Oryctolagus cuniculus: one gene and its partners. The protein of the gene in region 1 binds, or shares a complex with, the protein of each later gene. Links are inferred from orthologs where the notes say so. Each region holds a gene or a part of one and is shown on either strand. Other genes may lie near its edges.

What was found.
Region 2: TAF1B (region 1) and POLR2H share a complex: the UniProt entries of both Homo sapiens proteins name them as parts of the pol I pre-initiation complex. The link is inferred for Oryctolagus cuniculus from reciprocal best matches to the Homo sapiens genes TAF1B and POLR2H.
Region 3: TAF1B (region 1) and POLR1C share a complex: the UniProt entries of both Homo sapiens proteins name them as parts of the pol I pre-initiation complex. The link is inferred for Oryctolagus cuniculus from reciprocal best matches to the Homo sapiens genes TAF1B and POLR1C.
Region 4: TAF1B (region 1) and TAF1A share a complex: the UniProt entries of both Homo sapiens proteins name them as parts of the transcription factor SL1/TIF-IB complex. The link is inferred for Oryctolagus cuniculus from reciprocal best matches to the Homo sapiens genes TAF1B and TAF1A.
Region 5: TAF1B (region 1) and UBTF share a complex: the UniProt entries of both Homo sapiens proteins name them as parts of the pol I pre-initiation complex. The link is inferred for Oryctolagus cuniculus from reciprocal best matches to the Homo sapiens genes TAF1B and UBTF.
Region 6: TAF1B (region 1) and TAF1C share a complex: the UniProt entries of both Homo sapiens proteins name them as parts of the transcription factor SL1/TIF-IB complex. The link is inferred for Oryctolagus cuniculus from reciprocal best matches to the Homo sapiens genes TAF1B and TAF1C.
Region 7: TAF1B (region 1) and POLR1H share a complex: the UniProt entries of both Homo sapiens proteins name them as parts of the pol I pre-initiation complex. The link is inferred for Oryctolagus cuniculus from reciprocal best matches to the Homo sapiens genes TAF1B and POLR1H.

The regions. Positions count from the first base shown.
Region 1 is NC_091433.1:192,313,895-192,318,150, forward strand, and holds the end of TAF1B (TATA box-binding protein-associated factor RNA polymerase I subunit B), read right to left. Parts: intron 1,311-4,256; coding exon 1,109-1,310; 3' UTR 501-1,108; downstream 1-500. UniProt on the Homo sapiens protein: Component of RNA polymerase I core factor complex that acts as a GTF2B/TFIIB-like factor and plays a key role in multiple steps during transcription initiation such as pre-initiation complex (PIC) assembly and postpolymerase recruitment events in polymerase I (Pol I) transcription.
Region 2 is NC_091435.1:93,931,982-93,936,031, reverse strand, and holds the start of POLR2H (DNA-directed RNA polymerases I, II, and III subunit RPABC3), read right to left. Parts: upstream 2,801-4,050; 5' UTR 2,290-2,800; coding exon 2,217-2,289; intron 170-2,216; coding exon 86-169; intron 3-85; coding exon 1-2. UniProt on the Homo sapiens protein: DNA-dependent RNA polymerase catalyzes the transcription of DNA into RNA using the four ribonucleoside triphosphates as substrates.
Region 3 is NC_091436.1:126,548,517-126,552,698, forward strand, and holds the start of POLR1C (DNA-directed RNA polymerases I and III subunit RPAC1), read right to left. Parts: upstream 2,801-4,182; 5' UTR 2,740-2,800; coding exon 2,671-2,739; exon of another isoform or gene 2,640-2,670; intron 2,560-2,639; coding exon 2,488-2,559; intron 2,191-2,487; exon of another isoform or gene 2,124-2,190; coding exon of another isoform or gene 2,043-2,123; intron 1,300-2,042; coding exon 1,192-1,299; intron 983-1,191; coding exon 850-982; intron 628-849; coding exon 508-627; intron 426-507; coding exon 273-425; intron 119-272; coding exon 1-118. Other genes in the region: protein YIPF3, read left to right, coding at 3,048-3,128, 3,641-3,838, 4,011-4,117. UniProt on the Homo sapiens protein: DNA-dependent RNA polymerase catalyzes the transcription of DNA into RNA using the four ribonucleoside triphosphates as substrates.
Region 4 is NC_091444.1:36,957,311-36,960,810, reverse strand, and holds part of TAF1A (TATA box-binding protein-associated factor RNA polymerase I subunit A), read left to right. Parts: intron 1-3; coding exon 4-117; intron 118-3,500. UniProt on the Homo sapiens protein: Component of the transcription factor SL1/TIF-IB complex, which is involved in the assembly of the PIC (pre-initiation complex) during RNA polymerase I-dependent transcription.
Region 5 is NC_091448.1:19,038,556-19,042,758, forward strand, and holds the start of UBTF (nucleolar transcription factor 1), read left to right. Parts: upstream 1-1,403; 5' UTR 1,404-1,648; intron 1,649-2,212; exon of another isoform or gene 2,213-2,342; intron 2,343-2,661; exon of another isoform or gene 2,662-2,800; intron 2,801-3,863; coding exon of another isoform or gene 3,864-4,203. Other genes in the region: basic salivary proline-rich protein 2-like, read right to left, coding at 3,864-4,203. UniProt on the Homo sapiens protein: Recognizes the ribosomal RNA gene promoter and activates transcription mediated by RNA polymerase I (Pol I) through cooperative interactions with the transcription factor SL1/TIF-IB complex.
Region 6 is NC_091449.1:65,912,849-65,916,348, forward strand, and holds part of TAF1C (TATA box-binding protein-associated factor RNA polymerase I subunit C), read right to left. Parts: coding exon 2,995-3,500; 3' UTR 2,227-2,994; coding exon of another isoform or gene 2,132-2,226; 3' UTR 1,479-2,131; coding exon of another isoform or gene 1,154-1,478; 3' UTR 354-1,153; coding exon of another isoform or gene 300-353; 3' UTR 1-299. Other genes in the region: DNAAF1 (dynein axonemal assembly factor 1), read left to right, coding at 300-353, 1,154-1,478, 2,132-2,226. UniProt on the Homo sapiens protein: Component of the transcription factor SL1/TIF-IB complex, which is involved in the assembly of the PIC (pre-initiation complex) during RNA polymerase I-dependent transcription.
Region 7 is NC_091436.1:140,424,720-140,428,758, reverse strand, and holds the start of POLR1H (DNA-directed RNA polymerase I subunit RPA12), read left to right. Parts: upstream 1-1,239; 5' UTR 1,240-1,429; exon of another isoform or gene 1,430-1,465; intron 1,466-1,549; 5' UTR 1,550-1,569; coding exon 1,570-1,705; intron 1,706-1,882; coding exon 1,883-1,983; intron 1,984-2,145; coding exon 2,146-2,255; intron 2,256-4,039. UniProt on the Homo sapiens protein: Core component of RNA polymerase I (Pol I), a DNA-dependent RNA polymerase which synthesizes ribosomal RNA precursors using the four ribonucleoside triphosphates as substrates. Can mediate Pol I proofreading of the nascent RNA transcript.

The DNA of each region.
Region 1 (4,256 bases):
GCTCAGGCAGTACCCGGGGATGAATAAATGGGCTCTGACAGACGCCTGATTTTCTGATATTCTCAACAGTCATTGTAAACCTGCACAATCTTCGCTAAGCGGTTAGGTGGGAAGTGCATCCATTTCAATTGCTGTTCCATGAATGAGTGGAGTGGATCATTCCACCATGGTTCTCGGCTTGGCCTCTGCCTTTCTGTTTTCCCTGCTCGGTCTTTTCTCTACTGCTTTGCAAGAACTATCGACACACCGAAGAAATCCGCCCTTTGTCCTCCGTATGCTGCAAGCAGTTTCCCTACTTTGGAACCCGCTGTCCTGGGTCAGTCTTTTCCTCTTGGCGTCTGGTCTGAGGCGTGCTGAGAGTCCTTCCCCACACCACGGTCTCTGAAACAGTCACGCTGGTTTTGTTCTAACGCTCTCCTACGTGCACATACGGAAGAGTACTGTTTAGACTGCTGATCCCCCCGGGATTCGTTTGGGGTATAAAGAGTAAGGAAGCAGTCTAGTTCAAAAAAGCAAATTTAATTTTAACTACAACAAACACAAATTTCTAGATACCATTTATATATAAATATATCGCTTTAATTTTCTCAAAAACATTCATATTAATTAAAAAAAAGTTTACACGTCATATCGTATAGCATCCATTGTTAGAAAAGATTTATTATGTGAAAGGCAGAAGGAGGGCACATGGAGAGATCTCGCCCGCCCTCCGGTGCGCGCTCCAAACGGTCCCGGTAGTCAGGCTGAAGCCAGGGGCCTGGACCTCCATCCAGGTCTCTCCTATGGGTGGCGGGGCCCCAATACTTGGGCCACCGTCCTTTGTCTTCACAGGTGCACTAGCAGGGAGACACATCAGAGTGGAGCAGCCAGGCGTGAATGGGCACTCCCAAGTGGGACGCTGGTGTCACACTGCTGGCTTAACCCCCTGCACCCCAACACCAGCCCCCACAGCAAACAACTTTATGAACACATTTGATACCTATGTATGTATGTGTGTGTGTGCACACATGTGATAAAATACACTTCCCACAATCCTCTGCAAAGTGGCATTACAATCTGACACCGCTTAGCACCACTGAAATATCTTTCCAAGTCTCTTCAATTGTTTTCAACGTCTTCTCACTCTTCTGGATCTTGAAGACTCGTTTGAACTCATGTATTTTCTTTTAAAAAGTTTCTTTTCAATTAAGCTCACTTCTTCATGGAGTAAGGAGGCCTTTATTCTCAGCAGGAAGGAGAAGAGATTTAATACAAACTGGTAACTCAGAGAAAAATTAGATTCTTCGTAGGTTGTCACATGTTTACAGTAGCTGGAAGGGGAGAAAAATGAGGAAGTTGTCCTGAAGCTAAGCTGCAAACGCAGTGTCAACTCTGGAACATCTCCCAGGCAGCTTAGAGGGAAACTCAGAACAATGTAGAAAACTCCTTAATTTACAACGGAATGAAGTCTGCACTGTGTCTGGAGACCGCGCATGGGGACACGGTGGACGGGAGCAGGCCTTCCCCGCCCCTGACAGGAAGGACACTGCCCGTTTTCTGAGCATGCTCCAAGCACAGAAAGGCAGGTGGGGAGGACCCTGGACACACGGCTGAGACAGACTCAATCCCTGACGCCACCCATGCACCAGATTCACACTGAGCCTGTGCACTGTGCGAGAGCTGAGAAATGTCACCTGTTCGCAAACAGCAGAACCTGACTCCGATCGAATCTCTATCACCAAACCTCCGCCCAGTGAGAGCCAGCAGTCTCGATCTACATCAAAGCGCAGGCAGCCCAGGGACAGAGAAGCAGGCCAAATGCCATCACGTGACCGTAGTCGGCAAGACCCAGGTTATGGAGAACCCACCAGGACACCTGACCTAGGTAACTCAACGAGCAAATCATAGGGTAAAGAAGAGATTAAGAGGGGGCCTTATCTCTGTCTCTCTGCCTCTGCCTCTTTGTAACTCGGCCTTTCAAATAAATAAATCAATCTTAAAAAAAAAAAAAAAAAAAAAGAGGGGCTGGCGCCGTGGCTCACTTGGCTAATCCTCCGCCTGCGGTGCCGGCATCCCATATGGGTGCTGGATTCTGTCCCAGTTGCTCCTCTTCCGGTCCAGCTCTCTGCTGTGGCCCAGGAGGGCAGTGGAGGATGGCCCAAGTGCTTGGGCCCTGCGTCCGCATGGGAGACCAGGAGAAGCACCTGGCTCCTGGCTTTGGATCAGCGTAGTGTGCCGGCTGTAGCGTCCATTTGGGGGTGAACCAACAGAAGGAAGACTTTTCTCTCTCTCTCTCACTGTCTAACTCTGTCAAATACATTTTTAAAAAATTAAAAAAAAAAAAAAAAGAGGTGGCCTTTACGATAACACTTAAGGAGCGGTCAGCCACTCACAGCAGATAGGCCTTATTTGAATTCTGAGGTGATCACGTGACGGCTGTGAGACACCCCCCCGCCCCCAGCACTGACTGTGTGTTTGATAATACTCAGGAATGACTACTTTTTAAGATCTGATCAGATGTATCACAGTTGGATCAGAAAAAGTACTTTGGTGTTTGTGATGGGCTTCCCAACAGTGCGGCAGTGGAGGCAGGAGGGCCTGGGTGGAGCAGACCCAGCTGTGCTGGGGGGGGGCGCTGGACCGGTCCTTCTACTGGGCTCCCACTGAGCCTGTAAACTGAGTCACTCTGACGAGCACACAGGGTCCTAAGTTCCCGAATGTGTATGTCTGCACCACAGAGCTCTGCCACGTGTCAGCTAGGACCACGGGACAACCGCTCCTGGCTCTCTCACCTGTGAACAGGAACAACCCCAGGACTCACCTCTCAAAGGGTTGACAAAGGATTAAATAAGAATACAGAGGGGCCGCGTGGTGGCGGGCATCCCACACAGGCACTGGCTCAAGCCCTGCCGCTCTACTGCGATCCTTAACGTGATCAAGCGCACGTCAGAGCGTGGCGCTCTCGGCCGTCACAGCACTGGGTCCTCCTGCAGCACTGGGCTCCTGTCCCATCAACTATTTAAGGCGTTCATCTCAGAACTCAAACAAGGCCCGGCTCCTGCGAGTGGCCGACCACTCCTTAAGCGTGTCAGTTCATCAAGGCCTCCTGTAACGCGCCTGGGAAGGCAGCGCAGACGGCTCAAGTGCCTGGGCCCCTGCGCCCGTGGGGGAGACCCAGAAGACGCTCCTGGCTCCTGGCTCCAGTCCAGCTCAGCTCTGGCCGTTGTGACCAATTGGGGATGAACCAGCAGATGAAGGACCTCTCTCTCTCCCCTCCTCCTCCTCCCCCTTCCTCCCCCTTCCTCTCTCCCTCTCTCCCCTGTAACTCTGCTTTTCAAATCTTTTTTTTTTTTTTTTTTTTTTAATAAGAATATAGAGTAAGCACTTAACCCAATGCTTGGCACATAGTAAGAGCTCAAAAATGGTCTCTTCCCGATACTCCTTTAAAATTGACTTTTTGGTTTGTTTTCACTTAAAATCCCAAGGCTATTTCAATAATAAAGCTACTACCCCACACCATGTCACTAGTAGGAAATGTAAAGCCTCAGGTGTTTGTTCACTCATTGGTTTAATCGCCATCTATATAGCATTCTGCCAATATGGCAGTTTCTTGGTCTTCTTTCTAACTTTTTCTAAATGTCAGCTTTATTGAGAATCTTTCTGATAAAAAGTTGTCACAAAAGGGAACAGGTGTATTCTCTCACACAAAGACCACAAGGGCAGTTCTATTTCTACACGAGAAAGACAAGACAATGTATTCTGCTGGTTCACGCCCCAAATGCCTGCAGCAGCCAGGGCGGGGCCAAGGTCAGGTGCCAGGACTCCCGCTGGGGTCTCCCACAAGGCGGCAGGAGCCAGCTGCAGGAAGCTGGACGGGAACAGAGGCAGGGCTCCAACACGGGGCGGCTTCACCTGCTGACCACCATGCCTGCCCCACTCTTACTTCTAAGTGAAATCACTGACAGCTTAGTGTGGATTACGCTCTTTAAAAAGTGTCTACAAGCCGGAGCCGCGTCTACCACACGATGCTGCGTCCGCGCCAACGCCTGCTGCGGGGTCAGCCCCGGGGAGCGCGCGAAGCCCAGGGCTCCAGTGGGCGCAGCACAAGGCCACGGCCTCCTCACAAGCGGCCCTTCACGAGGGCGCTTCGAAAGGCTCATGCAAACACCGAACCAAAAGACGAATGTATTTTGCTGCAAAACATTTTGAAATCCACACTGAATTTCTCCCTAAACGCACTTTCCATGAACTTTAGGTTCAAAAGGTGCTGCGTATGC
Region 2 (4,050 bases), on another chromosome or scaffold:
ACCTGAAAACAGCAGCAATATCTGGGCGTAAAGAATAGCTGAGACGGCAAGAAGCCTCTGTTGATTCTCTGGGTTCAATACTTACCCAGGTCCACAGGGTAAATCTGAATGTTTACATCTAAGATGAGGTCCATCTTGAAAGATTCGCTCTCACAGTGCAGTCGAGACACTGGGGAGAAGCAGAGAGACGGACGATGTAATTACCAGGGCAAAGGCAGATCTGACAGATCCCAGTTTGGGAATTACAGGCAATCGACTATTTAATGTAACCTGATCTACATCCACTGGCCTCTTATGTGCTCTCACAGAAGTGCAGGCACAGGGCATATTGGGTAAAGCCGCCACCTGCAGCACTGGCATCCCAAATGAGTGCTGGTTCGAGTCCCTGCTGCTCTACTTCTGATCCAGCTCTCTGCTATGGCCTGGGAAGGCAGAAGATGGTCCAAGTCCTTGGGCTCCTGCACTCATGTGGGAGACCTGGAAGAAGCTCCTGGCTTCGGATCAGCCCAGCCCATGCCATTGCAACCATTTGGGGGAATGAATCAGCAGATGGAAGACCTCTCTTTCTCTCTGCCTCTGCCTCTCTGTAACTCTGCCTTTCAAACAAGTAAGTAAATCTTAAAAAAAAAAAAAAAAAAAAAAAAGTGCAGGCACTGCAGTGCAGTGGGCAGAGCTGCTGTGTACGAGGTGGGCATTCTGTATCAGAGCACCAGTTGGAAGAGGCTGCTTTGCTTCTGATCCAGCTCCCAGATCACTTTGGCTTCACCCAGCCCCAGGCACTGAGGCCACCTGGGGAGTGAAGCAGTGGATGGAAGACCTCTTTCACTGTCTCTCCCTATCTCTGTCTTTCAAATAAATAAAACAAACCTTAAAAAAAAGAGAGAGAGAGAGAGAGAAATGCAGGCTCGCTCAGAACCAGATATGCATGGAGGACAAAAACCATGGCAGGGGCCAGCGATTGTGGATTAGTGGGCAAAGCCCCACCTGCAGTGCTGGCATCCCATATGGGTGCCGGTTCAAGTCCCAGCTGCTCCACTTCCAATCCCTGCTAATGCACCCGGGAAAGCAGAAGAGGATGGCCCAGGTCCTTGGGCCCCTGCACCCACGTGGGAGACCTGGAAGAAGCTCCAGGAGCCTGGCTTCAGATCAGTGCAGCTCCGGCCATTGTGGCCATCTGGGCAGTGAACCAACGGATTAAAGACCCCTCTCTCTCTCTGTAATTCTGCCTTTCATATAAATAAATAAGTCTTTAAAAATTAATAATTGGGGCTGGCACTATGGCGCAGTGGGTTGACGCCCTGACCTAAGGCGCCGGCATCCCATATGGGTGCCAGTTCATATCCTGGCTGCTCCACTTCCAACCCAACTCTCTGCTGTGGCCTGGGAAAGCAGTAGAGGATAGCCCAAGTCCTTGGGCCCCTGCACCGTGTGGGAGACCTGGAAGAAGCTCCTGGCTCCTGGCTTCAGATCAGCACAGCTCCAGCCGTTGTGGCCATCTGGGGAGTGAACCAAAGGATGGAAGACCTTTCTCTGTCTCTACCTCTCTCTCTTTCAAATAAATAAAATTAATCTTTAAAAAATAATAATAATTTTTTAAAAAAGCATGGCAAATGAATGGAATCCTGCCCCCAAATCAAAATATTCTAGCAGCAAAAGACAGAGTTCTAGGCACTACCTGGGTGATTTAGAACCTGGGTCTGGGCAAGGGACTTCTTCAACCAAAGGTGTCCTCTCCCATGCTAAGGGGATTATCTCACTGAATAACTGAGACTTGAAAAACACCTCGGGCGCCTGGCCTGCACCGCGCAGTTAACTCAGAGGGTCTGACATCAGCTGGAGACTCGACTCCACACAAGAATTCGGGCTCATAAGTCAGACTGACCACGGTGCAGCCTTGGGTGGCAAACTTACCCTCCAGGAGGAGAGGAAGGCACCACCTACCTCCTGGGAACTCTCGAGAGCACTAAATAAGGCAAAATGTGTGTAAGTGAGAGGCGACTGCAGAGACGTCCAGGAGCCTGCCACCACCATGGCACTGGGCACCGCGTGTGTGCAGCCAGGGAGAGCTCGGCGTCTCGGCTTTCTCATCCATAAAAGGTCTCCTGGGAGAGGCCCCTACATCAGGACCTGCCGCAAGGGCAGGCCACGTGAGCCGGAGCCCAGGGGTGTGTCCCGAGGAAGTTAGTTTCTTCGGCCAAACCCCACACCTTACCTACCTCGGTCAAACTTCTTGCCTTCCGGGTCAATGTCTTTCACATCGAAAATGTCCTCAAACAGGATGCCCGCCATCGTGAGGGGGCCACGAGAGCAGCGGAAACGCGAGGAGCGAGACCACAACTACGAGTTAGCCCACTCTCGCGTGGAAAAAGAAGACACTAGAGCAAAAGGCGCCTGAACGCTGGCGGCAGAGCAGCAGGAAAGCGCATGCGCACCAGCTTGCAGTACGGCAGCCACTTCCGCCGCCTCCACCTCGGGGATTCTCAACTTCCGCCCCGATAGATTGCTGGCGAGGGAACACGCATTGAGGGCGTGTCTCCGAGCCAGGTGACTCCGCCCAGGGCGGGAACGCCCCAAGCACCACCTCTGGCGGAGGTGGCTCGGGTTATCGCGCTCCGCTGGGGCTCCGCTTCGCCCTCTCCAGAGTCCGGGCCCTGAAGCCTGGAATGCTTGGAGACTTAACCCAGGCCGAGACCTTGATCTTTGCCCCAGAGAAGCCGGGCCCTAGCCCTACCCTGCCGGTCCTCGTGTCCCCCGAGGGCATAGTCCGCGCCGGGGACGGGTGCAACAAAACTCCGCCCCCAGAGCGCTAGCCCAGCAGGACGTAATGCCTAGTCCCTCAACTGGCACCGAGGGCCCCCAGGTCGGCGGGGGCTGGCTCGGCCCTGCTGGACGTCACCTGAGCCGGGGCCGTCCAGGATATCACTCCGGGGGAAAGGAAAGCTGGCACTGCCCTCCTCTGGCGCTGCACCCTCCCCCCACCACTGCCCTCTTCCCCTGGGCCCTGCTCGCTCCTTCCGCCTGCCACAAATCCCCTCACACTGCCCTACCCGTTAGCAGTGCCCCCTCAGCGTGTGCCGCGTGTTCCCCCAGCACTGCCCTCCTCTTGGATCACTTTCCTGTCTCTTCCTCCCGGGTGCTGGCCCCCTTCTCCCACAACCTCCCTTCCTTGGCCTCCTGCCGCCCTCCTGCACGCCGCGTCTGCGCTCGCTATCTCGAACGCTGCCCGTGCACCCCGTGCTCACCCCACCCTCTGTTCTCTCCTTCCCCGGACCCTGATAGAGAAAGCCAAACCCCAGCAGGCCGTTTCCCCAAGGCGGCGAGACGTCAGCAGCTCCTGGGGTTTTCCTTGGGCCCTGCCAGGAGAAGCGACCTCTGCCCACCCCACCCCACCCCCGACGCCTGCCTTCCAGGCACTAGAACTCCCTTCCCTCGGGCCTTTCTTTCCCAGTCCCCTTGCCCGCAAAATCCGGCGGGTCCGGTATTGCAGGGGCACCTCCTGAGGCTAGCCCCGAGCAAGGGCAGGAGCCCAGAATGGCCCTCCGAATCCCCCGCAGAGGGGCCTTTCCAGGCCCGCCTGGGCCTCCAGTCCTCAGCAGAGAAGGCAGCTGCTCTCACGAATTAGCAGCCCTGCAGCCCCGAGCCCGAAGTCCTAAGCGCCCGGCGGCTCCGGTCCCTCTCCGCCTTGCACGGAGAGCTGTGGACCGGCTCCACGTGCCAGTGGCCCTGCCCCGCCCCGGCCGCGGGCGCCCCTCTCAGTCCTTCTCCGCCGGCAGGCGCGTTCCAGGCGCCCCCTGCCGCCTCTCCGGAGCCTGGGAGGCGGCCCCGTCGCAGACCCTAGCCGGGCTAGGCCGGCCCCTCCGGATGGGCTGGCGGGCGGAGCAGCGCAGAGGGCACCGCCCTCGGCCCGCCCGCCGAGGAGGGGACGGGAGCGGGAGGCCGTGCCAGCGGCGCCCGCCCGGGGCCCGCCGCACTCTGCTCTCGGCCGCCCGGGCTGCGGGGACCGGACGGGGACCGACCGGCGCTGGCTGCGCGGGCGGAGTGCCGAGTCCA
Region 3 (4,182 bases), on another chromosome or scaffold:
GAGAAGCACTGGCTCAGCTCCTCAGCCGCTTCCCCTTCTATGGGTGCAAGCAGGGTAATGTCTGGCAGGAGCCTGTAACTGGCTGTCGCCACTGGTGAGAACTTGGCGTGGTCCTTGCCTGCAGGGAAGGGAGAGATCAGCCTGGGGGAATCCTCTCCCGAGCCACTGAGCGCGAAAGCCCAAGCCCACCGCCTTCTGCCGGTCAGGAGCATCCCTGGATTCCTGCGGCGACTAAGCTACGCCCTGCACCTGAGGCGGCCCACGGGTCTCACCGATGCCCTTGACACAGTGCATGAGCAGGTCAATCTCTTGGCCAGGTCGCAGCTGGGCAATGAGGATATCATCGTGCACCGGCCGGATAGTGCCCTCAGGGAAGAGGTCAGCCTGGTTCCCCAGGGGAACCCACGTCATGTGCCTGGTGTACACTGGAGGGAAGACAAGTCAGAGGGCTGTAGCCCCGAGACGCCCCCACAGCCAGCAGCCAGGCCTCCCTCCTTGCCCACTAACCTTTGTGATTCACATAGAGCTCGTTGGGGTCAGAGGAATCTTTAGCAGCGTGGGGGTTCCGAGTGCACCTGACCTGCAGCCGAAACTGCAGAGTGTCTATCTCTGTGCCCTCGTCGTCCCCTGCACAAAGGGAAGAGGCGGCCCTTACAGCAGCAGTGAGCATCAGGGTAGACACTGCCGAGTGCTACCCGTGTGCTGCTCCTCTCGTCCACAGATGATGAGTCACTTGCCCAGGGCCACAAGAGTCAACCCAGGATTCGAACCCAGGCAGCTGGTCCCAGGATCTACTAAGGAAGAAAGCGGTTCCACTTCCCCCAACAGCTTCATCTCCCAGGCCCTCACCTTGGTTCCGATATTCAAACAGTCGTGGATCAGCATGAATGGGAATGAGCCCCAGGCGGTGAGCCAGGATCTCATCCTGCACGATGGATGTGTTGTTGTACACCAGTACCTTCTCCACAGCCATTGTGGGCACCTACCCAGAGACCAGGATTACCCGTCTATAAAAACCCGGCAGACTCCCCACCTCCTGAGATGGACAACTCCTAGAAGAATGCCTCATAAAAACTTAAAGCAAAACACTCCACAAAATCGGGGGGGGGGGGGGGGGGCAACTTGAGACACTGACAGATGAGGTGATGGCACACTTCCCCACGCTCCAGCCGTCACCGGCCCCGCTGATACCTCCGCCAGCAGAATTCGCCGGAAAGCATTGGCAATGGCCGCATCAATTCCCACCATGTCAAACTCCAGCGAGTTTTCATCCATGTGTACCACATCCACGCGGAAGTTCTAGAGGCAAAGGAAAAACAAGTGGATGGAGCCTGCTCTTGGTGTGACCTGGCTACAGCTCCCCCTTGACACGGAACATCCCCGCTCCCCCAGAAGCCTTCCTCTGCCCAGCAAAGCCTCATTTGATGTTTTCTTCCTCTGTTCTTTTAGTTTCTTGAACAATGCCCCCAGTTTTGTATGCCACTAGTTGAAAATCCTATGCAATATGGCTTGAGCCAGAAGCTATTCTATGAAGAGCAGAAACTTCTATACAGTTTAGTCCAGCTGACAGGACTCAGTTCTTTTCTTACTAATGTTACATTTGGCATTGAATTAAAAAAAAAAAAAAAAAAAAAAAAAAAAACTCCTTTCTCAAACCCCATCTCCTCCGTGTCTGGGCACCAGTCCTCCATCTGAGGAGTTGCGTCTCCTTCCACCCACCACCTAGGTGTTACCGGTCCCCAGCTTCTTGTCTCTCTCCAAAGTGACATCAACCACACTCACGGTTTTAGCAACTACTATGGACAACTCCCCACATTCTGTCGAACGCTCTCCTGGGCTGCTAGCTCCTCCACACCGCGGGGAACCGAATGGGTCATCGTTCCCACTGCCCAGGCACCGCCAGCCGTCAGATGAGTTCCCACAGCCAGAAAGTCCTGACCGCTCTCACCAAAGCACTCCTGGGCTCCTTCCCCCAGCACTGCCTAGCGATCTGCCCGCCCCTTCTCCTCCTTCTCAACCACCAAAGCTGCAAACCGGATCACCTGGTCACGCCTGCTCAAGAACCCCCAGTGCCCGCCGTCAGGCCAGTGTAACATTCTATCAATAATGCGCGGTTCGGACATTCTAGGGACACGCCCACCCCGTCTTTACAAGTTAGCTCGCTTACTCCTCCCTCCTCGACCTTCACTCACCGTTCAGGGCTCAAACTCAGATGTCACTTCCTTCAGGGAATCCTATGATTCTGCCCCAGTCTAGACCGTCTCTGAGGGGTGCCCCACCCCCACTCTCAGCCGCCGTCACCGCATCCAACTAGAATGACCTGTACAGGCCTGAACAGCTCGATCGCAGAACAAGGCAGAAGCCCGGTGTGCAAGGAGCGCCCAGGACACGGTCGGATGCTGAGCAAACTTGGTTTTGCCACGTGAGTGACCCCTGGGAGCAGCTCGGAAGCCCGGGCTGCTCCGATCACACTCCGGCCCCACGCACCTTCTCGAAGCGGTCCTGATCCCAGGCATCATCATAACCGGAATAGTTCCCGGGGAAGTCGGTGGTATGAACCTAGAGATACGGGTCCGTCCGTGAAGAGGCAGCGAAGCCAAGCCCGCCCTCACTTTGATCCCGACCCGTCCCTCTCATACTTCCTTCTGAACTCAAGGCCACAAGGCTTACATTCCGAACTCCGAACTCCCCTAAAACCACGCGGCTCCGCATTTCTTCAACGGCCTGAGCCGCCGCCATCTTCGACTTCCCCCACGAGACTAAGGCCTCACGCCTGCGCGTGCGTTCTAGCGGCTTTCCTCCGTCGCCGTGGCAACGCACCGCCTCCCGGAGCCCGACGTATCGCGAGACTTTGCCCCGCCTCCGTCCACGTCCCCAACTTCCGGAAGTCTGTCTGGGCCAAACATCCGGGTTTCTCTTTTTTGCGTTCCGGCTGGTGGCGCCTGTCCTCGGCCCTGGACGTCTCCGTGCCTCAGGCCCACGTCTGCCCCCTCTTCCTCCGCGCGCGGGGCTAGCGCTGGCTTCGGGGACGGGAGCCCTCCAGGGACATGGCAGCCACCGCGGCGCCGGCCGGCGGCGCTCGAAACGGGGCCGGCCCGGAATGGGGCGGGTTCGAAGAAAACATCCAGGTAATGGCCCCAGCGCTTCGGCTGCCGGCCACCCCGACGTGTCTGGGGAAGCCTCCCTCGGGGCCCGAAAGCTTCCTCCATTTGCAACACTCCTCTCCCCTTTGGGTCTTCGTGCACGGGAAAGTCAGTGAAGCTAGTGCCGGCCGGAGGGCCTCGGGTCTCTGGACGCGCCTGAGGCGTTAGGAAGAGAGACAGAAGAGGAGGTCAATCGGGGTCAAGCGGGGCAGTGGGCGGGATTCGCTGGCACTCGCCAGAAACATCTTGTGTGCATGGTCTTGCTTGCGCCTTGCAAACCCTCGGGGCCTTTGATGGGGAAGGTGGGGAAAAGGCATGAGCGGAAGACAAGTAGGTGGCTTCTCGGGCTAGAGGAGAGCGCCGGAACCAGCAGCCAGGGGGTTCTGAGAGAAAGTGAGGGGTGACAGTGGCCTGATGTGCGGGGATTCGGAGGCGCGGCGCCAGCAGCGGGGCAGGGACCAGAAAGGCCTGCACTGTAGGAGGCATTGCCTTCACAGGGTGGGGGCTCTGCCGTGATTGACATGGAGAACATGGATGACACCTCGGGCTCCAGCTTCGAGGACATGGGTGAGCTGCACCAGCGCCTGCGCGAGGAAGAAGTGGACGCCGACGCGGCCGCTGCGGAAGAGGAGGATGGGGAGTTCCTGGGCATGAAGGGCTTTAAGGGGCAGCTGAGCCGGCAGGTGGCTGACCAGGTAAGCGGGGCTGAATCCTTGGCAAGTGCAGGATACCTGCGCGATCTGGAGTCGTGTGGGTGACCTTGACCTCAGGCTGCCCCAGTTGGAGCCCAGTAGAACCCCGACAGAAGCTAGGGAGCAGGACCCCAGGGCCAGGAGCCTCACGGGCCATCCCCGCATCTCCGCTCAGATGTGGCAGGCCGGGAAGAGACAAGCTTCCAGAGCCTTCAGTTTGTATGCCAACATCGACATCCTGAGACCCTACTTCGATGTGGAGCCTGCCCAGGTGCGCAGCAGGTGAGGCTCACCTCCTGAGCCCCGGTCCCTCACCCAGCCCTGGGCTCTGCTGTCCTTCCTGACGC
Region 4 (3,500 bases), on another chromosome or scaffold:
CAGATTATTTGGAAGCTTGGAAGTGAAATTCTGTTTTATCATCCCAAAAGCAATGTGGAGACTTTCAACACCTTTGCTGACCGGATGAAAAATATTGGCGTCTTGAATTATTTAAAGGTGAGGTTGTTGGTTTTGTGAATTTACGTTTTCAGTGTATCGGTAATAAGGAGATAATAATGCAGAGAGCATGGGACCAAAGGTGAGACATGTGGATAAAGAAGGGGAACTGGAAGAAACCATTGTGAGAACCATATGTCTTGGTTTCTGGTCCCTGTCTTGTTGTCTGACTGAAGATCCTTCTCTTTGTGCCTTTGGCTGCCAGACACCAGCCCTTCAGGGATTGCAGTTGTGCTTCATTGTGATGATGGGCCACATTCTCATGTTTGCAAGCATTTGTTTTTATTTTCCTTTTGGGAGGCAGAGAGAGAAAGAGGAAGACTGACTGACAGATCTTTCATTTGCATATCTTTATCTGCAAATGCCTGTAACAGCATAGGCTGGGTCAGGCTGAAGCCAAGAGCCTGGACCTCAATCCAGGTCTCCTTTGTGGATGGCTGGGACCCATGTGCTATAGCCATTCCCTGCTGCCTCCCAGAGTGCATATTGGCAGAAAGCTGGTGGGAAGCAGAGATGAGACGTGAACTCAGACACTGCAGTATGGGAAGTGGGCATCCCAAGCAGCTGCTTAACTGCCGTACCATATGCCTGCTCCCTAATAAAAGTCTTATCCAAAAGGAGACATTTCCAGAATATATATCTCTCTCCCTCTCTGTGGTATAGTTTTTGACTAAAAATTTTTTAATAAAGTTTTAAAAGATATGTAATTTTTAATTTTTTTTCTCAGTGACCATAGAGTTTCATTGGAATACAGTTACATTCATTAATTTCCAAATTGTCAGTAGCTACTTCTTTTTTTTTAAAGAAAGATTGATTTATTTATTTGAAAGGCAGAGTTACAGAGAGAAAGGGAGCAATGGAGAGAGATCTTCCATCCACTGGTTCATTCCCTAAATGGCTGCAACAGCCAGGCCTGGGCCAGGAGCCAGGAGCTTCATCTGGGTATCCCACATGAGTGCAGGGTCCCTAATACTTGGGCCATCTTCTGCTGCTTTTCCTAGGCACATTAGCAGAGAGCTCAGTCTGAAGTAGAGCAGCCAGGAATTGAACCAGCCATGCCACAGCCACAACACTGGCTCTACCAGTAACTACTCTTTCATGACAATGATGGAGTTGAATAATTGTGACAAAAACTAGTTAGCCTGCAAAGCCTAAAATATTTACTCTCTGGCTCTTTTTAAATTTTTTTTTTTTTTTACTTTTTTTATTTTCAAAAACTTTTATTGTCATAAAATATACATAACATAAATGATTTTTAACCATTATAAAAATATTTATTTACTTGAAAGGTGGAATTACAGGAAGGGAGATGGAGAGGCAGAGAAAGAGAGCCAAAGAGAAATCTTCCGTCCTCTAATTTGCTCCCCAAATGCCCGCAATGACTAGGGCCGGACCAGGCCGAAACCAGGAGCTTCTTCCTGGCACAGGGACCTGAGTACTTAGTCCATCTTTCGCTGCTTTCCCAGGCACATGAGCAGGGAGTGGGATCGGAAGTAGGGCAGCCAGGACTTGAACTAGTGCACATATGGGATTTTGCCCTGCAGGTAGTGGCTTAACTTTCCGTACCACAGCACCGGCCCCAATTTTAGCCATTTTTAAATGTACAATTCAGTGGCATTAGTTATATACACAGTTTTCTACCAAGATTACCGCTAGTCCCGAAACTTTCCATCACCCCAAACAGAAACTATGTACTCAGTAACAGCAACTCCCCATTCTCTTCTCCCCCAGCTCCTGGTAACCTCCAGCCTGTTTTTGGTCTCTGATTTTGCCTATTCTAGATATAAATGGAGTCATGTACCATTTGTCCTTTGGTGTCTGACTTATTTCACTTAGCATAATATTTTCAAGATTTATCTGTGTTGTGGCATGTATCAGAACTTTTGCTTTTTCTATGACTGGATAGTATTCAGTTTCCTATCACGTTGTGTTTCTCCATGTAACTGTTGTGTTGTTTTCAGATATGGCTGTTGTAAATCATACTTCAATGAACATTGGCTTGAAATTATCTGTTTCAGTCACCATTTTCAGTTCTTTTGGGTCCATCCCTATGTTTAATGTTTTTAAAGATTTATTTATTTACTTATTTATTTGAAAGTCAGAGTTACACAGAGAGAGGCAGAGAGAGAGAGAGAAAGAGAAAGAGAGGTCTTCCATCCAATGGTTCACTCCTCAATTGGCTGCAACGGCCAGAGCTGCGCTGATCTGAAGCCAGGAGCCAGGAGCTTCTTCCGGGTCTCCCACATGGGTACAGGGGCCCAAGTACTTGGGCTATCTTCTGCTTTCCCAGGCCATAGCAGAGAGCTGGATCTGAAGTGGAGCAGCCGGGTCTCGAACCGGCACCCATATGGGATGCTGGCACTTCAGGCCAGGGCATTAACCTGTGCCACAATGCTGGCCCCACATTTTTCAAGAATTGCTAAATGGTTGTCTACTGTGGCTGCACCTATTTATATAAATACTGCTTTCTAATTTTGAAAATGAATTTTCGCAGTTTAGGATTCTTTTTTAGATCTTAATTAATTTAGAAAAAAATTTCTGAGTATGAATAGTTTTGTGCCAGATGCTCTCTGACAAGTGGAAATTGAGTAGAGGCAGCTTATGGTTCCATGTAAGGAAGAGACTTCGAGCTGAACAAGTTGGGAAAGGAAAGGCCTGCCTTAATGGGCGCTCTCCTCTCTTTCCAGGAAGAAACTGGGTAGCTGTTTGATTGGAAAGGGAGCGTGGAGTTTTAACTAACCAATTGGCCAGGCTTCTTTTGGTGCATGGAATCTACTCAGTTCAAGTAAAGAAACTGGAAGGAAATCTCATTTCTTCCACACCCAAGAGTGATAATTAGAATAAGCAGAAAGCCACTGCAGTTTTTCAGGCAATGTGCTGTAGAAGGGACAGGCATTTAAATGGAAAAAAGTGTTATGGGTACCACGGTAGAGAATGCAGCATGCAGTAAAAAGGTGAAGGAGAAGTGGTTGTCTTTGGAATTGGAGAGGGCTGGGATTGATGAATAGGGGGACCAGGAAAAGGTAGGACGTGATGTGTGAGATGAGTTTGAAACAGCGAGTGGGGTTCAATAGGCAGACTAAGGAAAGGGTGCTCTGGCGTGGCAGGGGTGACAGAGATTCGATAGCCCCGTGTCCCATGCTCTAGTTACTCTGAAAATTACTTGAATGGAAGCCAGAGGAAGTAGGCTGGGCACTGTGTGCCATACTTAGGGAGCTTGGGGTTTATTCTGCAGACAGTGTGAACCGTTGGGGGCTTTTACAGAAACGAGTAACAAAATGGGATTTCTTTGGTAATTGCATGGATGATGGATTGTAGGGGGGCAAGAAGGGAGAGGTTAGTTGAGAAATAATTGCAGTAGTTTGAGATGGGGACCTTGAACT
Region 5 (4,203 bases), on another chromosome or scaffold:
AAACGAGAAGAGAGGAGGAGACGAACAGGCAAAGGGGGGCAGAGAGAAAGGGCCAAGGGCAAATTCCCTGGTGTGCTGGCCCACAGCCCAAGTCCTCGGCTCCTGACCGCACCAGAGCTGTGATGGGTGCGACCCAAGCCAGTCGCTCTCCAAATGGGAAGGGCGCCAGCAGTTCTGCTGCCCAAGGAATCAATAACAAGCATTCTTATGATTCACGTTCATCCTGCTTTATTCCGAAGCACTTTACCGAAAAGCCCCTTGACCCAGCCAAGAAGTTCAGGGCCAGGAGCCAAGACACCTGGACTCCAGACCTGCGTGTGGCAGATCTGGAACCTTCTTGGGGGTCTAGGTTTCTCCCATTGACCCTCGGATGCCTGGTGAGGCTGCTGTTGTCATTCCACAGATACGGAAACTAGGATCAGGTGGGGTTAAAACTTGCCCAAACACTCACACTATTAAAAAAAAAAGTTAGGACTTTTGATCCCAAAGCCTTTGTCAGAAATAGCAACTGGTTCCATGCCCCGATTTCGGTGCAGCCTGAGATGGCTTGATCCTGCATAAAATGTCCCCAGAGTGAATCAAAGGCAGATCAAGTGTGAGGGCCTGCAGGTGAACTGTGGAGGTCGGAGTGCTCTTTAACCAAAAAAATAAAAAAGAACCAACTACGGGATGCAAAGTCAAGTCCAAGGTCTTGCACAGGCCTTAAAGCTTCAACTTCATTCGCATGATGGTCAGTCTGCATCTTCCTCATGTCCTGCCCGCTAAAAACCCAGACACACCAGATCCCGGCGGCGCCCTCCTCCCGAGGCGAGAACCGTGGCAGGAGTCTTGGGAAAGGAATCTCATCTCTCCCAGGAGGCAGGAGGAATTACCGCGGCGGAGAGCCCGTGCGAGGAGGGAGGGAGGCTGCGCGCCAGCCAAGAGCCCACAGGGGCCCGGGGACGCAGCGGAACAAGACGCGGGCAGCGGCGGGGCCGGGGTGGGAGCCAGGCGTCATGGCGCTGTCCCGGACGAAGGGCCAAGCCGTGGGCCGGCCTGCCGCAAGCCAGCGCCCTCGGCTGTCCGCGGGCTCCCTGCGTCCTGCCCTGAGAACACTTCCCCGGAGCTAAGAAGGCAAAGTCGGACAACCCCGGCGCCGGCAGCGGAGGCCGAGGCCGGACGCTCTGCGCGGCCCGCGCGGCCCGGGTGCCGGGCGCCCCTCGCGGCTCCCCACCGCCGCCGGGGGGCAGCGCCCGCGGCCTGCTTTCCCCGGGCTGGTCGAGCCTTTTTGACAAGCTGATTGCGTGGCGGGGATTGGCTGGTCCGGGCGTGACGCCGGTAACAACAAAGGTGGAGTTGGAAGAAATTAGATTAAGGGAGAGGAGGAAAAAAAAAATTAAAGGGGGAGCTGGCAGGGGACAGGCGGCGGCGAGCGAGGGGGAGATGCGCGCGGCGCGGCCTCCGGTACCGACTGGGCCCCCGGAAGCCTCTCCGCGTAAGCCCGCCGGGACCTGGCTCTCGCTTCCCACCCCGGCCCACTTCCGAAGCCGGGTAGGAGAGACGGCTGCTGCTGCTTTGGAAACCTCCCAGCTCCCACCCTGCCACCCCTCACGACGACCCGAGGGGAGAACTTTTTGCTCGGACTCCACGTATCCTCAGCCCGGCGAAGGTGGGGGGGCGCTGGGAAGGAGGCTCGCTCCAAACCCGGGACGGCCCCGCGGGGCTCGGAGGTCGGGCGAGGAGCGCTGCCGCTCCGGTCTTCCGAGATGGCTCATCTAAGAGCTTCTTTCTGTCTTTTCTTTCTTTTTTTTTTTTTATAACACCCCCCCCCCTTTACTTCCCCCTCGCTTTGGCTTCAGGGTTGCAAAAGCAAAGAGCAATAAAAAAAAAAAAAAAAAAAGGAAAGAAAAAAGAAAAAGAAAAACCGCGCACACACTCAGACACACGCCAGTGGCGACAGGGGAGAGTTGGAAAGGCGCAGGAGAGAAGCAGGAGGCGGGCGGCGGCGGGGCCGGAGCCTTGGGAGCGGGGAGCGGGCAGGTTCCCTCGCAAAACCCCCTCCGCCCCACGGCGCCTCGCCGGCCCCGGCAGGGGAGCGAGGAGCCGGGCGAGCAGATGGAGGAGTGGAGCTCGCTCTAGGCAGCGGGCTTGGCCGGAGAATGGAGGAGCCGCCAAGCGACCGGCTGATTGGAAGAGAAACGCAGAGCGATGGAGGCGGGGGTAGGAGGACGATTTCTCTGCGGGGACTGGCGGCGGCGTACACGCCCGGGTCGGGCGCTGCAGAGCTTGGCTGGCTTTCAACCCGCGCTCGCCGGCTCCAGCCCCGCGCGCCCCCACCCCCGGCCCTCCCGGCGGCTCCGCAGGTGAGTGCGAGCTGGGGGCAAAAAGACCCAAAGTCTCCGCACTCCCGCCCTGCAAAAAAAAAAAAAAAAAAAAAAGAGGAAAAAAATTTTTTTCCTTTTTTTCCCCCCAATTTTCGCGCAGCCCCGAGAGCGGTGGGAGGGAAGGGGTGAGGCTGAGCCACCCGGAGGAGGCGGAGGGGCCAGGCGAGGCCGCGGTGGCCCGGGAGGCGGCGGCGCCGAGGCGGCTCTGACGGGCGAGCGCTCGGAGCGGCGCTGCGCTGCGCCGAGGCGGGCGGGCGGAGCGGGGCGGGCGGAGCGCGGCGCGTGGGGCTCGCCATTAGCCGTCGCTCCGCTTCGCCATCTCGGGCTTTGTCTGGCGACTCGCTGCCCCGGAGTCGGCTGCGGCGGAGCTGCGGCTCGGCTCTCCGGCCCGCCGCGCCCCCAGGTGTCCCCGGCCCGCGCTCCCATCCACACGCTCGGTAAGTGAGCCCCGGCGCCACGGATTTCGGGGGAGAGGGGTTGCTCCGAGCGGCCGCGCCGCCGATCTCCATGCGCCCAGGCAGGCCTGGGGAGCCATGCCGGGCTGGATTGAACCGGCTCCCACCGTGGCTCCTCGCCGCTTCCTGGGTGTAAGGAGCGAAGGGAATTTCTTTTTCCCCCTTGGCAAGGATATTTTGCTTTTCGAGTTTCGCGTGTGCCGTTCGGCGGCGAAGTAGGCGCCGAAGCTTGGCACCGCGATCGGCACCCCGAGCGAGTAGCCACGCTCTGGGGAAGGTGGGCGCGAACCGCCCGCGCCGGGAGGCGGGAGAGGGCCGGCTTGGAAGGCCGGATCTGGGCTGGGAGGCCGTGGAGGAGAGGTCCGGGGCTGCACTGCGGGCACCCCCGAGCCTCTTCGGCCGCCGGGGGGCCCTCCGGGCACCCTCTCCGCGGCCGCGCCTCGGCCCTCCCTCCCGCGCCGGCCGAGCCTGCTAGTTCCCCCGCGGGTCTGGCGAGGTCGCTCTCGGCGCCCGCCCGCCCGCCCGCCTCGGCTCCGAGCCCCGCCGCCATCCGGGCGGCTGCGTGTCTCCCTGCCCCGGCCCCCCCCCCTCCCCGGCGGCAGCAGCAGCAGCAGCCGCCGCCGCCGCCACCGCCACCACCACCACCACTACCACCACCCCCCTCCCCTCCTTCCTTCCCTCCGCCTCGGCCGCCCGGGTCCCCCCAGCTCCCGCCCCTCCTCCCAGCTGCCCCCCGCGGAGCCCGCCCGGGCAGGCTGTGGGAGGGAGCGGAGCCGGCGAGGCGGGCGGGCTGGCGCTCGCTCCCCGGGGGTCGGTGTGCGCTCTACGGGGAAGGACGCGCTCGCTGCCCCGCTTCTCCCGCCCCCCCTCCCGCTCCTCCTCCTCCCTTCTCCCTCCTCCTCCCCGCTCCGGCGGCGGAGGCTGCGGCGGCGGCGGGGGGTGTGCGAGCTGAGGCCGGGGCCGGCGGGCGGGCGGCGGGCGGGCTGCCTGCAGGCGGAGGGCGCTGTGCTTTGTGCTTTTCGCCGCGAGGAGCAGCAGGCAGCAGCTACAGCCGCCGCCGCCACAGCAGCAGCAGCAGCCGCCGCCCCAGCGCCGCCACCGCGCCCGGAGGAGGAGCCGCTGCCGCCGCGGGAGGGAGCTGCGGCTGTGCCCGGCCGAGCGGGGGAGGGCGCCGCCGCTCAGAGCCGGGGAGGGAGCCGCCGGAGCGGGAAGCCCGGAGGTCGCGCTGCGCCGGGTAACCGAGGCGGCTGAGGGCGCGCGCTGGGGGTCGGGGCCGGGGCGGCCAGGGAGAGACCCGCGGGAGCGGCGGACACCCCGGCGCAGACCCGGGGCGGCCTCCGAGCAGGGTCTGGACGCGAGCAGACCGGGGCACTGGGGAGGACGCC
Region 6 (3,500 bases), on another chromosome or scaffold:
GGTCACCTTTGCCCAGGTGCCTCCAGCTTGGGTGCCCTGTGGCCCCGTGGTGAAGTGGCCGTGACGAGGACATGGGACTCCCTCGGCCATGGCATACCTCGCAGATTCTCCCTGTCGTTCGATGCTGACACACACTTGCCGCCAGTGCTTGCTGCCGGGGTGGGGGAGAGGGCCCCTTGCTCTGTTAACAAAACCCTTGGTTATCATGTTTGTATTTCTGCTCCTCCCAATGGGGCTGTGTGTCCGTGTGCACTGTGGCTCACTGACACGCTGCTCTCCGTGACAATCGGCTCTTTCAGGACCTCCCTGATTTGGAAGACACCGACGACCCAGGAGACTCTCTGGAAGGCCAGGTAAGGTTATCCGTGCACCCGGCCCCTCCACCCTGACTCTCACTTGCGTTCTTGTCATTTACAAGGCCTGAGGGGTCTGCCAATCCGTGGGAAGTGAATTCCGGGATGTTCGCTCATGTTGAAATGCAGTTTTTTCCTACAGCACGTTTCCCATGAACTGGTCAGGACCTCTCGCGCACCCCGGCCCTCGGAGTAACTTGCTCCTGGTGGGACAGCAGGGCTCCCGACAGGGGGAAGCGCAGCGGCTTGTCTTGCTCGTTCTCCCACTTGGGGGTTCTGGCTGAGCTACAGGACTGGGCCCTGGATGCAGCTACCCGACATGCTGGGTCTGCGTGCATCTCACCAGTGTCTGCACAGAGCTGTAGAGGGAAGAGGCAGACGGAGCTGGGGGCTCCTCCCCACGGCACCCCCAGAGCCCACGGTGCCACATCCTGCCCAAGGGAGAGGGCATGCAAGAGGTCATCTTTGTATCAGCTCCCCACCCCCAGGCCCGGAGCTGAACAAAGCTGGGTTAAGAGGTGTGGCGGCAGAGGCCCGGCTCAGGGACCCTGGAGGCAGAAGAGTAGGCAGGGGGAGCGCGGCACCGAGGCCCAGAAAGGGTGGAGAGGTGCACAGACCCTGGCCGCAGGGCTCTGTGAAAATGCAGCTGGGCCTGGCCATGCTGAGGCCAGACTCCCAAAGGGCCAAGTCCTGTGGTCCCCTGGGCCTTCCTTGCAGGTGACAATGGAAAGCATAACTGGAGTAGCACACCTAGAGCCACCGTACTGAAAAGGTTCCAACACTGCCGTCCTGTCCGACAGGGAACGTGCGTCCCGAGGGTCCAGGCCATCTCCAGCCTGAGCGAGGACAGTGACCCGGAGCTGGAGCGCCCGCCCACAGACACCCTCTCCAGCATCTTTGCGGTCTCCAAGGCCATCTCCGAGAAGGCCGAGACGCCATTCACAGACACGCTCAGGATACAAGCAAAGTCCCCGGATGTCCGAACTGCAGTCGCCAAGCCGGCGCGACCGCTGATTGAAGAGCTGCCAAACAGCCCCTGGCCAACCCCCGCCAGCAGCGGAGACGCCACGCCCCCTCCCTGCAGGGAGGGCGGGGACAGCACCCCCTGCATGGCCTCTCCCTCAGGTGATGCCGCCCCACCTGGGAGGCAGGCAGGGATGGCCTTCTAGACCTTTGCTCCCAGAATCCATGTTCTGGGGGTCACCGGTGACCAAGTGGCCTGAGACTCCAGATCACCTTCCCCAGTCCAGGCGTCTGAGGCCACCCCTGGGGCCAAGCAGCCACCAGGGTGGGCGGGCAGCCCCTGCAGTCACAGGGACTCAGCCGTCCTGGGCTCCGCGGGGCTGGGGAAGCTTTTCTGCCCGCCCTCCCCCCCAGACCTGGCTCTGAGGGAGCAAGGGGACCAGATGCTGTGGCTGGCAGTGGGGGACACACCTTGGGTGGCAGCTGGCACAGGGGCATGGCTGCTCTCCAGACCCCTGGGACGGCGTGACACTGTCTGACGTCCCACACAGGGAGTGTGCAGAGACCTGAGGGGTGGCACACACTGCTACCCTCACTCTGGGGCTGGGGGACAGTTGGTGGGGAGTGGCAGCAAGCGGGCTGGGCTGTGCCTTGGTCAGCTGCTGCTGGATGGGCGTGCAGGCTGCGGTGGCAATGTCGACCTCACACAGGGGTGTTTTCCTGAGACACCTGGCACTCCAGACCTGCACGCGGGACCAGCTGGGGGCTGGCCGCCTGGCAAGAACACCCACAGGCATTCTCTCTGAACTCTTTAGGGGACACAATGGAAAAGAAGGAACCACGGTCTGAAACAGAGCCCAAGTTGAGGGTGGGGGCAGGCCAGGAGGACATCGAATTCGGCTTGGACTGAACGGCTCCGTGTCAAGCCCTCCCCCCAGCTCTCCCTCCCCAGAGCATCTCTGGGGTTCCCCGCTCGCCCCCTCAGCCCTGGCTGCGGGGCTGCGTCGTGCAGCGTGTGCTCAGAGCGTCCGTCCGCCCACTGCGCTGTGTGCCTGTCCGTGCCTCCTTGCGCATAAACACCTTCACATCCACCCAAGTCAGTCTGTTACTAACGCTTACACACAACTGGTCTCGTCAGCTGCCCTCTGAACCTGTGCGTTCCAGCCTACGACAGGGCCTGCGGCCTGCAGGGCTGCCCGTGGGAGAGCAGAGTCCTGCACAGAGCGGGAGCAGCTCGGACGCGAGGCCTCACACACCCGATGCCAGAAGCCCGGTCTAAGGAAGAAGTACCTCATTTTATCGGTCCCTGAACCATCAGCCAGCACCGCCCGAGCAAAGCGACAGGTCACCTGGGGGGCTGGGGACACACCCCCAGCGCCGCTCACCGCCACTGCGGTGCTGCCAGGCACGTGCAGCTGAGGGGTCTCCCCACTCCTGAACACGCTGAGGGGCTGGCGCTGCTGGCCCATGCACCCCCAACGACAGGGAGCCCCGCTTTCTCGAACCACCTCCTGGAGGGAGTCCTCCCAACTGGCCTTCTGCAGTTACCTGCAGGCTAACGGGAGGACACCCAAGGCGCCATTTCCCCGCTCCAAGCCGCGCTGGGCCCTCCTGTGGAAGGCCCCGCCGGCCCTGCCGTGAGGACCAGGGCTCTGGAGGCCCCAGCCTCGCCGTGCCCTCAGAAGCCCATGCGAGGCCTCTTGCGCTGGGGCTGGGAGCCAGCGAGGGCAGGAGCGCGCTGCCGGGAGGGGGCGGCCCGGGAGGGGGGCGTGGCGGCCTCCTGGAGTGACGGCTCGGTGGCGTAGCTCCGGAGGCTCTGCCGCCGCTCCGAGGGGACGCCCTGAACGCCGGCCTCCTGAGTCGACTCCTGGGAGGCTGAGGGCACTGGGGCCCGAGGCCTGGCCTCAGGGCACGTCCTGTCCGGGCTGTGCGGGGGGCTGTTGGCATCGGAGAGGTCCAGGCGGCCGCTGAGCGAGAAGGTGCTGGAGAGCTGGGTGCGGCGCTTGGCCCGCCTGGGCTGCCTGCTGAGCCCCGAGGTCCTGCCCTGCCGCCTCTCCCACCAGGCGGCCCCTCGGCCTTCCCAGGCCTCCCCAAGGCGCTCACTGAGCTCGTCCTCCGGGCCCGACTCCGGCGCCGGGGGCGGCTCTGCGGCGGGGAGCGAACCCACATCCTTGTGCTGCAGGA
Region 7 (4,039 bases), on another chromosome or scaffold:
TGGCTCACTAAGCTAATCCTCTGCCTTGCGGCGTCAGCACACCGGGTTTTAGTCCCGGTCAGGTCGCTGGATTCTGTCCCGGTTGCCCCTCTTCCAGGCCAGCTCTCTGCTGTGGCCAGGGAGTGCAGTGGAGGATGGCCCAAGTGCTTGGGCCCTGCACCCCATGGGAGACCAGGAGAAGTACCTGGCTCCTGCCATCAGATCAGCGTGGTGCACTGGCCACAACGCGCTGGCTGCGGCGGCCATTGGAGGGTGAACCAACAGCAAAAGGAAGACCTTTCTCTCTGTCTCTCTCTCACTGTCCACTCTGCCTGTCAAAAAAAATAAAATAAAATAAATAAATAAAATGACATCCGATTTCATGGTTAAGTGATATTAGGGGCTTGTGATTTCCCCAGCATTTCCTAACTTTTTACTAGGGTTGTCTTTCCTTTATGGCAGGGAAAGACAGACAGGTGCCTCTCTCCCAAGTAAATTCACATCTGTCCTTTAGAAAAGAGATGGCTCCAGAGCTTGCACACGCAGGAGCCCCACAACAGCTACAACTGGATGGTGGTGGGAGGGCTAGAACCAGGAAACTCGTATAGAAACTGTTTCTTCAGGTCAAGTCTAAGCTACTGACGCGTGAAAATGGTGAGGTCTTCTAAAGATCCTTATTCTCATGTTTTATAAACAAGGAGCAACTCAATTAACCACCGACTGGATGACCACGACTGGAGGTGAGGGACCAAGTGGAAGACTGAAAGCCAAACTCGACCCAGGTCTTAGCAACCCCTGCCTACAGGCGTCCCCGGCCTAACGCCAGGTCCCTGTGGTGTCTGATGCCCTCCGAGGTCCTCGGCCCAGGGTCCCTGTGGTGTATGACCCCCTCCGAAGGCCTCGGCCCCCTCCCAGGCGTGCCCCTTCCGTCTTTCCCGTCCGGCCAGCGGAGCCCAGCGAGTCTCAGCACGCTTAGCTACACCCTCTGCTCCGCGAAAAAAGGGCCGCTGGGAACGGCGGGACCTGTACTTTTCTAATCCAACGAACTCTTGTTTTCTGGGGGCCCCCGTGAGTGGGAAGCCAGTGAGTCAGATGCGAGACAAGGAAGAGGAATACCCCACTACTGTGTCCAGGTGGGAAAAGGAGCCGGAGGCGCAGTGCCAGCGACTCGCCTTCCGGTCCACCACCACGAGACCAAACGGCAAGTGACGCAGCAAAACGCGCTCCCAGCCCGTCTGCCCGCCCTAAACCCCCCGCTGTGGCGCGCGAGGAATAGTGACGTCACAGCAAATTGTGCGCCCGGACGCGTCGGCGCTCTAGCCCTCGGCGCGCTCGCTGCCCCGCCGCTTGCGCACGGCCGGCGCTCTAGCCCGCGCTACCCGGCCCCTCTCGCCTGCCCTGGCGGGGTTCCGCGTCGCCGGCTGGTTGCTTGGTGGCCGAGGCCGGAGACGTACGTGGGAGGAGGGGTCGGGTTATCTGTGCCTAGGTGCTGGGGCAGACAAGGGAGGCCCCCTGCGTGGGGAGGGTGCGGCTCTCTGGTGTCCTAACGAACTGGTCGTTCCCTTTCCAGCATTCCGTCGCGTGTCCGTCATGGACGGCGCCAGCACCTGCCCCAGCTTTCAGTCGGACTTGGATTTCTGTCCGGATTGCGGCTCGGTCCTGCCCCTGCCCGGAGCTCAGGATACGGTCGTCTGTACTCGCTGTGGCTTCTCCATCCACGTGCGGGGTGAGGGGCGGGGGCCGGTGCGCGGTTTGGAGACCGGGGAGGGAGAGCCTTAGAGCGGGCGCCTGGACGTCTGGTCTGCGGAAGAACCCTGAGGGAGGCAGGCAGGCCTGGCGGGGGCGAGGCGGCCGTCCGCGCCCTCCGCTGGCCTCCACAGCCGCTTCTTGCTGCCCCGTGCAGACTTCGAAGGGAAGGTCGTGCAGACTTCCTTTGTGTTCCACAAGCTGGGGGCAGCCGTGCCTGCGTCGGCGGAGGAAGGGCCCGAGTTCCAGGGACCCGTGGTGAGTTACTGAGATGGAGGGCTGGCTGCAGAGAGGGGCGTGGAGAGGAAGCGGAGGGGCGAGTGCGGGGTCCGCAGAGTGTTGCACCGACTTCCAGGAAGGCGGAGAGCCTGGGAAGTGAGGGGCGCGCCCCCGCCTCCTAACGCACCCCTTCCCGGCCAGGTTGACAGGCGCTGCTCTCGCTGTGGCCACGAGGGAATGGCGTACCACACCCGGCAGATGCGCTCAGCCGACGAGGGGCAGACCGTCTTCTACACCTGCACCAGCTGCAAGTGGGTCTCCGCTCCCCTCCCTCTGTCTGCGCACTTGACATGTTCAGTGGCGTATTCTTGTACCACACACTTGCTTCCATGATTCCATCCCTAATAGGAAATACTTGTCTTTTGTATATCCAGTGAACTCAACCGTTTACTATTTTGTTTTTTCATTAAAAAACAAGAGAAGGCTGGAGTTGTTCACTGCAGCCAAGGTAGCTTGACCATGGTAAGAATTAGTCACACGGGATTTAAAGAACAGCAGCTTTCTGAATGGTTTGCAGAATTTAGTGTTCTGGTTCCACTAGAATATATCAGAGTGTTGTGGGCCGGCGCTGTGGCGGAGGAGCAGGTTAAGCTGCCGCCTGGGACACCAGCCTGGGTTCATGTCCTGACTGCTGAACTTCCAGTCCCGCTCCCAGCGAATGTGCCTGGGAAAGCAGTAGAAGATGGCCCAAGTTCTAGGGCCCCTGCACCGACGTGGGAGACCTGGAAGAAGCTCCTGACTCCCGGCTTCCTCCTGGTCCAGCCCCAGTATTGCTGCCATTTGGGGAGTGAACCAGTGGATGATCTCTCTGTCTCTCCCTCATTTCTTTTCCCCCCAAGGAAATCTTTTATTTGATAAGTACAAATTTCGTAAGTACAGCTGCAGGAATATAGTGATTCTTCCCACCATACCCACCCCACTCCCAGCCCACCTCCTCCCTCTCCCATTTCCAGTCCCCTGCTCTTGTATCTCCCTCTCTGTAAATCTGCCTTTCAATCAAATTTTTTTAAAAAAAAAATAAAGGATATATCAAAATGTAGCTCGCTTTTGTTTATCCTGTTTGGAATTTTATTGGACTTTCTGAAATGAGAATTGATGTATTTCTCATTAACTTTGAAAAATTACCAGCCATTATCTCATTTAATACTGTCTTTCTCCCATGTTTTTAATTCTCACATACTGGAGTTCTAATTGTTTATTATACTTTCTCCTCATCCTCCCATTTTCCTCACCCTGTCTAAAAATTTATTCAAAAGGCAGAGTTATAGAGAGGCAGAGCCAGAGAGAAGTCTTTCATCATTGGTTCACTCCCCAAATGGCTGCCACAGCCAGAGCTGGGCCAATCCGAAGCCAGGAGCCAGGAGCCTCTTCCTTGTCTCCCACGTAGGTGCAGGAGTCCAAGTACTTAGGCCTTCTACTGCTTTTTTTTTTCCCTTTGCCATAGCAGAAAGCTGGATCGGAAGTGGAGCAGCTGGGACTCGAAGCGGCGCCCATCTGGGATGCCGGCTCTGCAGGCAGCAGCTTTACTTGCTACTCCACAGTGGTGGTGGCCCATCAATCATTTTTTACTTCTCAGTTCCTTAATTGTATTTTAAATCTCTTTTTATTTTTTAAATGTGTATTAGATATATCAAACATGTTTACACCATAGTAGTAGGGGCTTCAGTTTTAACTTACCTGTCTGGATTTATCAGTGTGAAGATGGCCTTTCCTTTCTTGGAATTTACCAGTGGATTAAAAATATTTATGGTCATATATCTTTCCTATATGAGCAGTTTTTAATATTTATAAGGTCCAGTTAAACATTCTTTTTTTCTTTCATGGCTAGTGCCTTTTGTGTTCTAAGACATCTTTGCATACTTTGTCTTAATTCATCTGATTTATTTTTAATCCCAGCATTTTCAGTTGTTGGAGGATTTATTTAGGGGAGCCAGGTCTCCACAGTATCATAAATAAAAGGCCCTTTGAATGTTGGAATATTTCATCTTACATTGCTGGGAACTCCTCTGATCCAGTGTAACAAGTCTTTTTTTTC